Cricetulus griseus: one gene and its partner. The main gene of each other region encodes a partner of the protein of the gene in region 2 in a complex. Links are inferred from orthologs where the notes say so. Each region holds a gene or a part of one and is shown on either strand. Other genes may lie near its edges.

Region 1 (4,097 bases), on a different chromosome or scaffold from region 2:
GGGGAAACTGGGATGGTGTGTGTGTGTGTGTGTGTGTGTGTGTGTGTGTGTGTGTGTGTGTGTGTGTGTGGTGGGCACCCAGAGCTCCTGAGGCAGGGCCTGTGAAATGTGGGATCTTAAAGCCTCCCCCCTTCATCCCAGTCCAAAGCATTGCGGTGAGCGTACACACTGGCTTCGTGGCTAGATGACTGACCAAATCAGAGCAGGAGACTACTCACTGAAACCACCTCCTCTTCACAGATTAGCCCCAGTAGAGCTTGGCCAGGCTCTGGGTTCTGGCCCCTCCCTGGGGAAAGGGTTGATGGTGATGGACAGGTCTTCTGGAGCTGCGGGCTGCGGGGGGGGGGGGGGGGGCTCCAGCGTCCTCCATTCCACAGGAGAGAGTGCCGGGAGGCCTTTCTGTGCCTCCACTTACCCATAGGAGACTCTGTGAGGCCCAGGCCTTTCTGCGCTCAGAGCTTTGGGAAATAACAGACGCCAGAAAGTTCACCCTGGAGTGTCTTTGGAGGTTCTCTGCCTTGGAGACCCTACTTGGAGTTCCTTAGGAGGTACGGTGTTTGGAAAAGAAGAATGATTTCCTAGACACCCATCCAGGAGGAAGAAAATGACTGGGATGGCCAGGTGATGAGCTGGGTGGGGTAGAGTGGCTGAGACAAGGTCATAGGGCAGGGATGGAGGGAGGGGTATGGTCAGGGAGAGGGGTCTGAGCGGGATTCAGACAGGCTGGCATAGCTAGAGGGGGTGTGCTGTGTTAGCTGGGACAGGACTGCTTTTGGCCCTGGGAGTGACGACGGTAGACCAGGAGGGGTCCTCACGGAGGAAATGGGCTATTGACAACCCAGGCTTGGCTTGATGGGGAACTAAATTGGAGCAGGGACAGGGTAAGGACCAGAATGGGTTTAATGTAGGGTGGGATGGACCTGGGAATGAGGTGAGGTTCGGCTGGAGTGAAATCAATCAAGGGGCTCAATGGACCAGTTATTCTGGGGAGGCAGAGAGGGGTGAACTTGGGCCTGGAATCTTGGTGGGTTTAGAATTTAGGGAGAGGGTGTCTACTAGGTTGGGGACTAGGACAAGGCAGGTTCATGGGACTGGCCCTGGGAGCAGAGTGGGAGCTTAAGGTCCGGGTACAGGTCAGCGGGGCAAGGGGCATGGGGGCGCCCCGGGGCAAGCTGGGAAGGGGGGGTGGACCTCCCCCTGGGCCGGGCCTGGGCGGCGCTAGGACCGAGCGAGCGAGCCGAGGGAGTGAGCCGGGCGGAGCCAGCGCCCCCCGCCCCCGCCGGCCGGCTCCCCTCCCCCGGCCGCTGGCTCGTTCGCTCTCAGCGCTGCAGAGGCTCTGAGGCGGCCGCGGCGACTCCCTCATCCCCTCCCTCCGGTGTCGGTCGGTCCGTCCGTGCGTCTGTCCGTTCGGTCTCGGTCCGGCCCGCAGCATGGCCGGCGTGAGCTTCAGCGGCCACCGCCTGGAGCTGCTGGCGGCGTACGAGGAGGTGATCCGGGAGGAAAGCGCGGCCGACTGGTGAGCCCCCGCCCCCGCCCCGCCCCCGGCCCTTTGTCCCCAGGCCGCCACCGCGCCTTTGTTTCTCGGAGGCTCTGCCACCGGGAAGGGAGGGGGATCTCCCGAAATGGTGCAACGGCCCGGGAGAGCCGGGGAGGGGCTGCCTTTGTGCGAGCCGGGGGAGGGGCCGGTCGGGCCAGGCGGGGCGCGCGAGCCGGGGAGCCCCGAGGCCGCCCTGGGCGCACTGGGGGCGCGGGAGCCGGACGCCTGCCACGCGGATGTGGAGCTCAAAGGTGGGGCCCGGGGTCCTACGGCCCCGCCGGAGCCCATCCCCTCCCCCCCAGCCTCCCTCCACGGGCCCGGGGGACAGGTGTGCACGGGCCAGCCAAGGGCACCTTCGCCACCTTCGAGCGGGCGAGGACCGGGTGGGGACGGGGCGGGGACCGAGCTAGCGGAGCTGGAGCAGCCTGGCCGGCCACAGCACAAAGGAAAGCTAGGGCGGGGGAGGAGCGCAGAGGGCCGGGGGCCAGCGTGCCCCGCCCACCAGGGGCTTCTCAGGGTTGTCTCCCCCCACATCTAGGTTAGGGTGTGATAGAAAGGGGCGCACGGCCACATGGCAACCACGAAGTGACTCCTTTATCCCTCCCGGATCGCAGAGGAAGAGAGGTAGGGCTGAGCCCTTCTCTCCCCTTCTGAAGGAGGAGATCGTTAGGGACTAGGCAGCTAGGCAGGAAGAGACCCAGGACATGGACCCAGGCAGCTTGTCTAGAAGGCCAGCTAGGAGGAAGCATGGTGGGAGCCCCCGCTGAGGGATACCACGATGAGTAGATCTCTGGGACCCTAGCCTCTTCACTCTACCAGGGGCTGTCAGCCTCTTATTAGGGTGGTATGAGTGGACCTGCGTCTCTCCCCCTCCCCAGCTGTTATCCTCCCTGAGGTGGAGGAGGGTTTAAACCACCTGCTCAGCGGCTGAAGCCCCAGGGTGTCAGGCAAACCAAGGGGTTTGATGCCCCATTCTGAACACAGCCCCCAAGTGTTCTTCTTAGGGAGCAAATCTCCATTTTGCATTTAGGTCTCTTCACCTCATCAGACAGAAAGTAGGCTCCTCTTGAGTTGGGGCTGGTCTGAGGACCCCAGTTGGGCTGGCCACACTCTGGGAGGGCAGCCAGGTAGGGGGCCTGGAGGAGGGAACAAAATAGCCAGGCCTCCATGCCATGGTACTGCAGCACTGGCGGGCAGCCAGGCCCAGAGGGATGGACTCAGGAGACAAGTTCTTGTGTCTTGCAGGTCAGTTATAGGAGAGGCTGAACAGGCCAAGCAGGCAATCCCCACATTGTTGTCCCAGCCCTGTCCCTGGGGGGCTGAGATCATGGGAGGCAATCTGGGCAAGTGGCCTGCTTGGACTGGTGGAAGAGCTGGTTTGGGGATATGGCCCTGCCTGAGGAGAAACACTGACTGGAACCCTGCCTTCCTCCCCAGTCTAGGGGGGGTGTAGGCAGCACCCCAAATCTCTTAACCCCTCAGAAGCAGACACTGGCAGTACAATGCTGGGCCTATCCAACTCCTGCTGCCCCGCATCCTGCTCAGCAGAGGCCGGGGCTTTCACCACCAGCAACATCCATGTGGCCAAAGGGAGTTAGTTATGCATCCTTGGCATGCGTCAGCCCCATCTGGGTGGTGTGTGGGACACACACACACAGCTGCACATATACACCCCTGGAATGCATATATGTTTGCTTCCTCCCAAGGGCCTAACAGCATGTTGTGAACAGGGTGTGAAGATCACATTTTACAGAAGATGGCATGATCCTTCCCAGCTCTTATCACACAGCCAGGAACTGAGTGAGGTCCCAAGGTTCAGTGCAGGCCCTGCAGGAGGAGGTCCTGGGTCCAAATGTTGGGGCATGAGTATTTGGTGTCTGTCTTTGAATGTGGGTGTGGTGGAGCTTAGGGAAGCTGAGCCCTAGGTGGCAGGGTCTCTTCAGAGGACCACTGCCTTGCGCTGGAAGCAGAACACTGGGGAAGTCAGATTGTGCATTTGGAAAGGCCAGCAGCACCCTGGTTACGATATGATTCATTGTGTGAGAAGTTCCTGCTCTTCTGAAGCTTCTGAGAGAAGAGGGGGCTGGGCACAGCCCCTGCAGGGTTTCCAGGGCCTTTCCAGCTCTAGCTCCCTGACAGTATGCTGGTCCTCAGCCTTCCACTCCTAGCAGGCCTGGAGCTGCTGAAGTCCCACTCTCACCTTGCCCTAGTCTCGTGCCTGTGGCTTAGATGGTTGATAAGAGTTTGTGCCAACATTACAAATCCCTACAGTGGTGCTACTTTGAGCTGGACCCAGGACGGAGACAGCAGTTGGTATTAGCAGAGTCAGAGTTTTGCCTTCACAGAACTGACATGACAGTCTGTGGCAGTCACTGTCTCCAGGGTTTAATGCTACCGAGGGGAGCACATCTACAGTCCCCTCATCCACGTTTACTTTTTTGCTTGCCTCCCAGTTCCCACCAGCCGGTCACCAGGTGCTTGTGGTATGGTAGAGAGACGTTGTCCAGCAGGGTCTGGGGCTAGAACAGATGTCTGTGTTAGCGTCATGGGGCGTGAAACT
Region 2 (3,606 bases):
GCCCCTCCATCCTGCATAAGTTCTTCTTGGCAAGACCAGTAAAGGGCCACCAAGGTGGCTCAGATGGCAAAGGTACTGTGGCCAAGACTGACATCCTGAGTTCAATCCCCAGAACCCACGTGAAGGTGGCAGGAGAAAAGAGAATGTGTTATCGTGAGAGGGAAGGTCTGCACTTGCACCCTCAGATCCCTGAGGACTGTGCTCTCCCCGACTCCAGGTGACTCCAGAGCAGCCAGAAGCTCACACCCACGGGGGACTCACCCAAGTTGTGTTTCATCTCAGCAAGCTCCTGCTGGTGTAGCCACTGCAGCTTCTCAATCTCAATCCTCAGCCTTCGAATCTGCAGAGAGGACAAAGGAGCCTGAGATGCCACCATGGCAGCTGGTCCCCTTGTGTCTGTCCCCAAGCTCTGCGTGACAGCCTGCCTCTGAGCCTATAGTCCCACAGCTCAGGTGGTGGATTATGTGGTGGGAGGAAAGAGATCACATTCATACAAACACACACACACAGTAAGTGTGTAAGGACTACATAAGAGGAACCTAGGGCTACACACACACACACACACACACACACACACACACACACACAAAGTACCCTAGTTCTGAAAGCCAAGCCAAGTGAGCCATTCTCCCCACAACCTACATAGGAGGCCCCAGAGCCAAGGGCCACCTGTGCCACATGCCTGAGCAACTGAGTGAGCAGCCACACGTCAATGCAGGAGTATGGCAGGGTTGGGGGACTGGAGGGTCGTGGTCATCCTAGCATAGGCTAGACCCAAGGTTTCAGGGGACACACGTGAACCAGAACTGCAACCACACACAAATGCTTAAAATGAACAAAAAGGGCTGAGTGTGGTGGTGCAGCCTATAATCCCAGCTCTCAGGAGGCAGACGCAAGGTTCCTTGAGCTCGGTGAGTTCGAGGCCAGCCAGGGATGCATCATGAATTCCTATCTCCCTGACCCCACTCTCACCCCCTGCCAAAAGAAAAAGTTCACTGGGGACAGAGAGATTTCTACTTGTTGATTGACACTGTCAGTGTCATACTTGACATACACAGAGTATCAGACTTAAAAATGCCAGGTACACCCTCTGCCCGCCATGCACATGCTTTTTTTTTTAAATCTCCATTGATTTCGTCAGGGCCTCTCATGAGCCCTGTCCTGTCTGTTGCCTCAAAGGCCAATGTTTCTGCTTGGGCTTCATTCCCAGCCTGCAGTACCATCTCCAGTGGCCTCAAGTAACCCTGTTCCCTGTGTGTCACCTGATGGCTGAATACAGGCCACCAAGCCACCGCCAGCACCATGCTGTCCACACAGGTATTAGCAGGTGGTCACTGAGTGACCTCCGAGGGAAACTCAGGGATAAACTTCTGTGTGTGTTTGTCTTTGAATGCGAGGATGCTTCATTATTTAACTATAAGAGGTGACTTTGTAAGTAAATAGTTTGGCAGTTTAACCACTGTCTGTCTTTGTTCACAGAGCTATGGTACCTCTGATTCTTACCTAAGTACTTTAGTCAGACTGGGTGGTGGCACACACCTTTAATCCCAGTGCTCAGAAGGCAGAGGCAGGAGGATCTCTGTGTCTGTGAGTTTGAGGCCAGCCTGGTCTATAGAGTGAGTTTCTAGGACAACCAGAGCTGTTACACAGAGAAATCCTGCTGGGGGTGGGAGGAGATGCACCAAGCACACACAAACCAAAGCTGGTGTCCAACTCTCACTGTGATCTAACAGGATGTAGGCAGGAAGCAGGACGAGTCTCCCTAGCCACCTGCTTAACCCAGCTTCCCAAGGCCTTCTAAGCCTGAACTGCTGGGGGATCGCCAGTTGCTACTGACCTCAGCTATTGTGCTCCCCGTGGTGTTTTTGGAGAGGTCATTGTAGATTTCCGTCATCGTCCCTTTAATGGCATCCATCATCTGAAAATATAAAAACAGAAGTCTTGCATGAATGGGGGGGGGCGCTCTGCAGCTTTCAGAGGTGATGGGGATGCAAACTCCCAGGCCCTGTTTGCTTCAGGCTGTCGAGATGCCTGGCAGAACAGGGTGGGGCTGCATCCAGCACCCCAGGGGTAGAAGCCAAGGAGGCTACTAAATGACCTACAGTTTACAGGACAGCCCCTTGCTGAGCTGAGAAACTGAAAGTCAGGGCCACCTAGAATCCCTTTTAGAGGTCAAACTCCACTCCCAGGTGTGTCGTGTTGAGCCCACACAAAAGGTTTAAGGAAGAGACTTATTTTGTTGCTTTAAGTTTTTTCTTAAAATTAAAATAAAAATTATAATCTTTTCTTTTTTAAAGGTTGGGTCCTCATGCATCCATCTGGTCTACCTCATTAAGTAGCTGATGACTCTGAGTTTCTGAAGCCCCTGACCGCACCCGGTTTTTAAATTCAGTGGTAGTCTGGTTGTTCATGCTAGACAAGCACTCTACCAACTATGCCACAACTCCAGCACACCAACATAATTTCTTTTGTGTTGAGTGAGTGTGAGTATGCGCCTACGTGCGCTTGCGCGTGCGCGTGCGTGCGTGTGCGTGTGCGTGTGTGTGTGTGTGTGTGTGTGTGTACTCGTGCACACAAGCGCAGGTATGCATGTGTCTCAGAGCATGAGTGGAGGGGTGAGGACAACTTTATGGTGTCAATTCTGTCCTCCCACATTTACTTGAGGGATCAAAGTCAAGTCACCATTACCCACTGAGCCATCCTGCTGACCCCAAAGCGCATTTTAATGAGATGTAATTAATACACTATCCACGTGACGTGCAATGCACAATCTGCAGGACCTGAGGTGCTACACTTCAGTGGCTGTGCGCCAACTCAAATACACACTTCAGTGGCTTTGCTTGTCTGGAGCTACACATCCAACAGCACAAGCAATTCTAGAACATTTTCAACACACACACACACCCAAGAAGACAACCCTACTCTTCCCTCAGTCTTCACTACCTTAGGAAACACCACAACCAAACTAACTTGGGGAGGAAAGGGTTTATTCTGTTACACTTCCACAGCACAGTTCATCATCAAAGGAAGTCAGGACAGGAACACAAACAGGGCAGGACGCTGGAGCCAGGGGCTGATGCAGAGACCAAGGAGGAGCACTGCTTATTGGCTTGCTCAGCCTGCTTTCTTACAGAACCCAGGACCACCAGCCCAGGGGTGGCCCCACCCACATATGGTGGGCAGTTCCACATCAATCAGTAAGAAAATACCCTTCAGGCTTGCATACAGCCCAATGTTACCAAGACACTTTCTCAATTGAGGTTCACTTTTCTTGCATGACTATAGCTTGTGCCAAGTTGACTTAAAACTAGCCAGCCCAACTCCCAACACCCCCATTACCCTCGTCTTCACCCAGGTCCCTGGGAACCACTTATCCACTTTCTGTTTCTATGGATTTGTATGACCTGGACCCAGCATAGAAATGTCAATCACCCCACACCAAGGCCTTAGGACTACGGTCTAGGAAGACTCCTTAAGTCTACAAAATGTACCATAGAGCGCACCTTGCCTTTTCCTGGTCCATCAAGTGGACATGGTTGGCTTGTCACTGCAATGCCTTCTAGGTTCCATGAAGCAGTCAAACTCAGATAGATACATACCAATTAC

The links. The genes of interacting proteins can lie anywhere in the genome.
Region 1: the proteins of Zmynd8 (region 2) and Dbn1 are in contact, whole or in part, in a crystal structure (PDB 5Y1Z), measured with the Homo sapiens proteins. The link is inferred for Cricetulus griseus from reciprocal best matches to the Homo sapiens genes ZMYND8 and DBN1. Residues at the interface, in NP_001350670.1 of Homo sapiens: Gln167, Pro168, Gly169, Thr170, Gln236, Ile237, Val240, Lys243, Ile244, His247, Trp269, Leu285, Gly287, Phe288, Phe307, Gly309, Gln310, His311, Asp312, Ala314, Thr335, Lys336, Ser337, Ile338; in NP_004386.3 of Homo sapiens: Met1, Ala2, Phe6, Ser7, Arg10, Leu11, Leu14, Tyr17, Glu18, Asp92, Ala93, Cys96, Ala97, Ala99, Ser100, Lys104, Glu107, Phe108, Gln110.

Annotation. Positions count from the first base shown.
Region 1 is NC_048596.1:274,473,030-274,477,126, reverse strand, and holds the start of Dbn1 (drebrin), read left to right. Parts: upstream 1-1,285; 5' UTR 1,286-1,430; coding exon 1,431-1,516; intron 1,517-4,097. UniProt on the Homo sapiens protein: Actin cytoskeleton-organizing protein that plays a role in the formation of cell projections. Required for actin polymerization at immunological synapses (IS) and for the recruitment of the chemokine receptor CXCR4 to IS.
Region 2 is NC_048599.1:13,617,659-13,621,264, reverse strand, and holds part of Zmynd8 (protein kinase C-binding protein 1), read right to left. Parts: intron 1,919-3,606; coding exon 1,838-1,918; intron 341-1,837; coding exon 262-340; intron 1-261. UniProt on the Homo sapiens protein: Chromatin reader that recognizes dual histone modifications such as histone H3.1 dimethylated at 'Lys-36' and histone H4 acetylated at 'Lys-16' (H3.1K36me2-H4K16ac) and histone H3 methylated at 'Lys-4' and histone H4 acetylated at 'Lys-14' (H3K4me1-H3K14ac).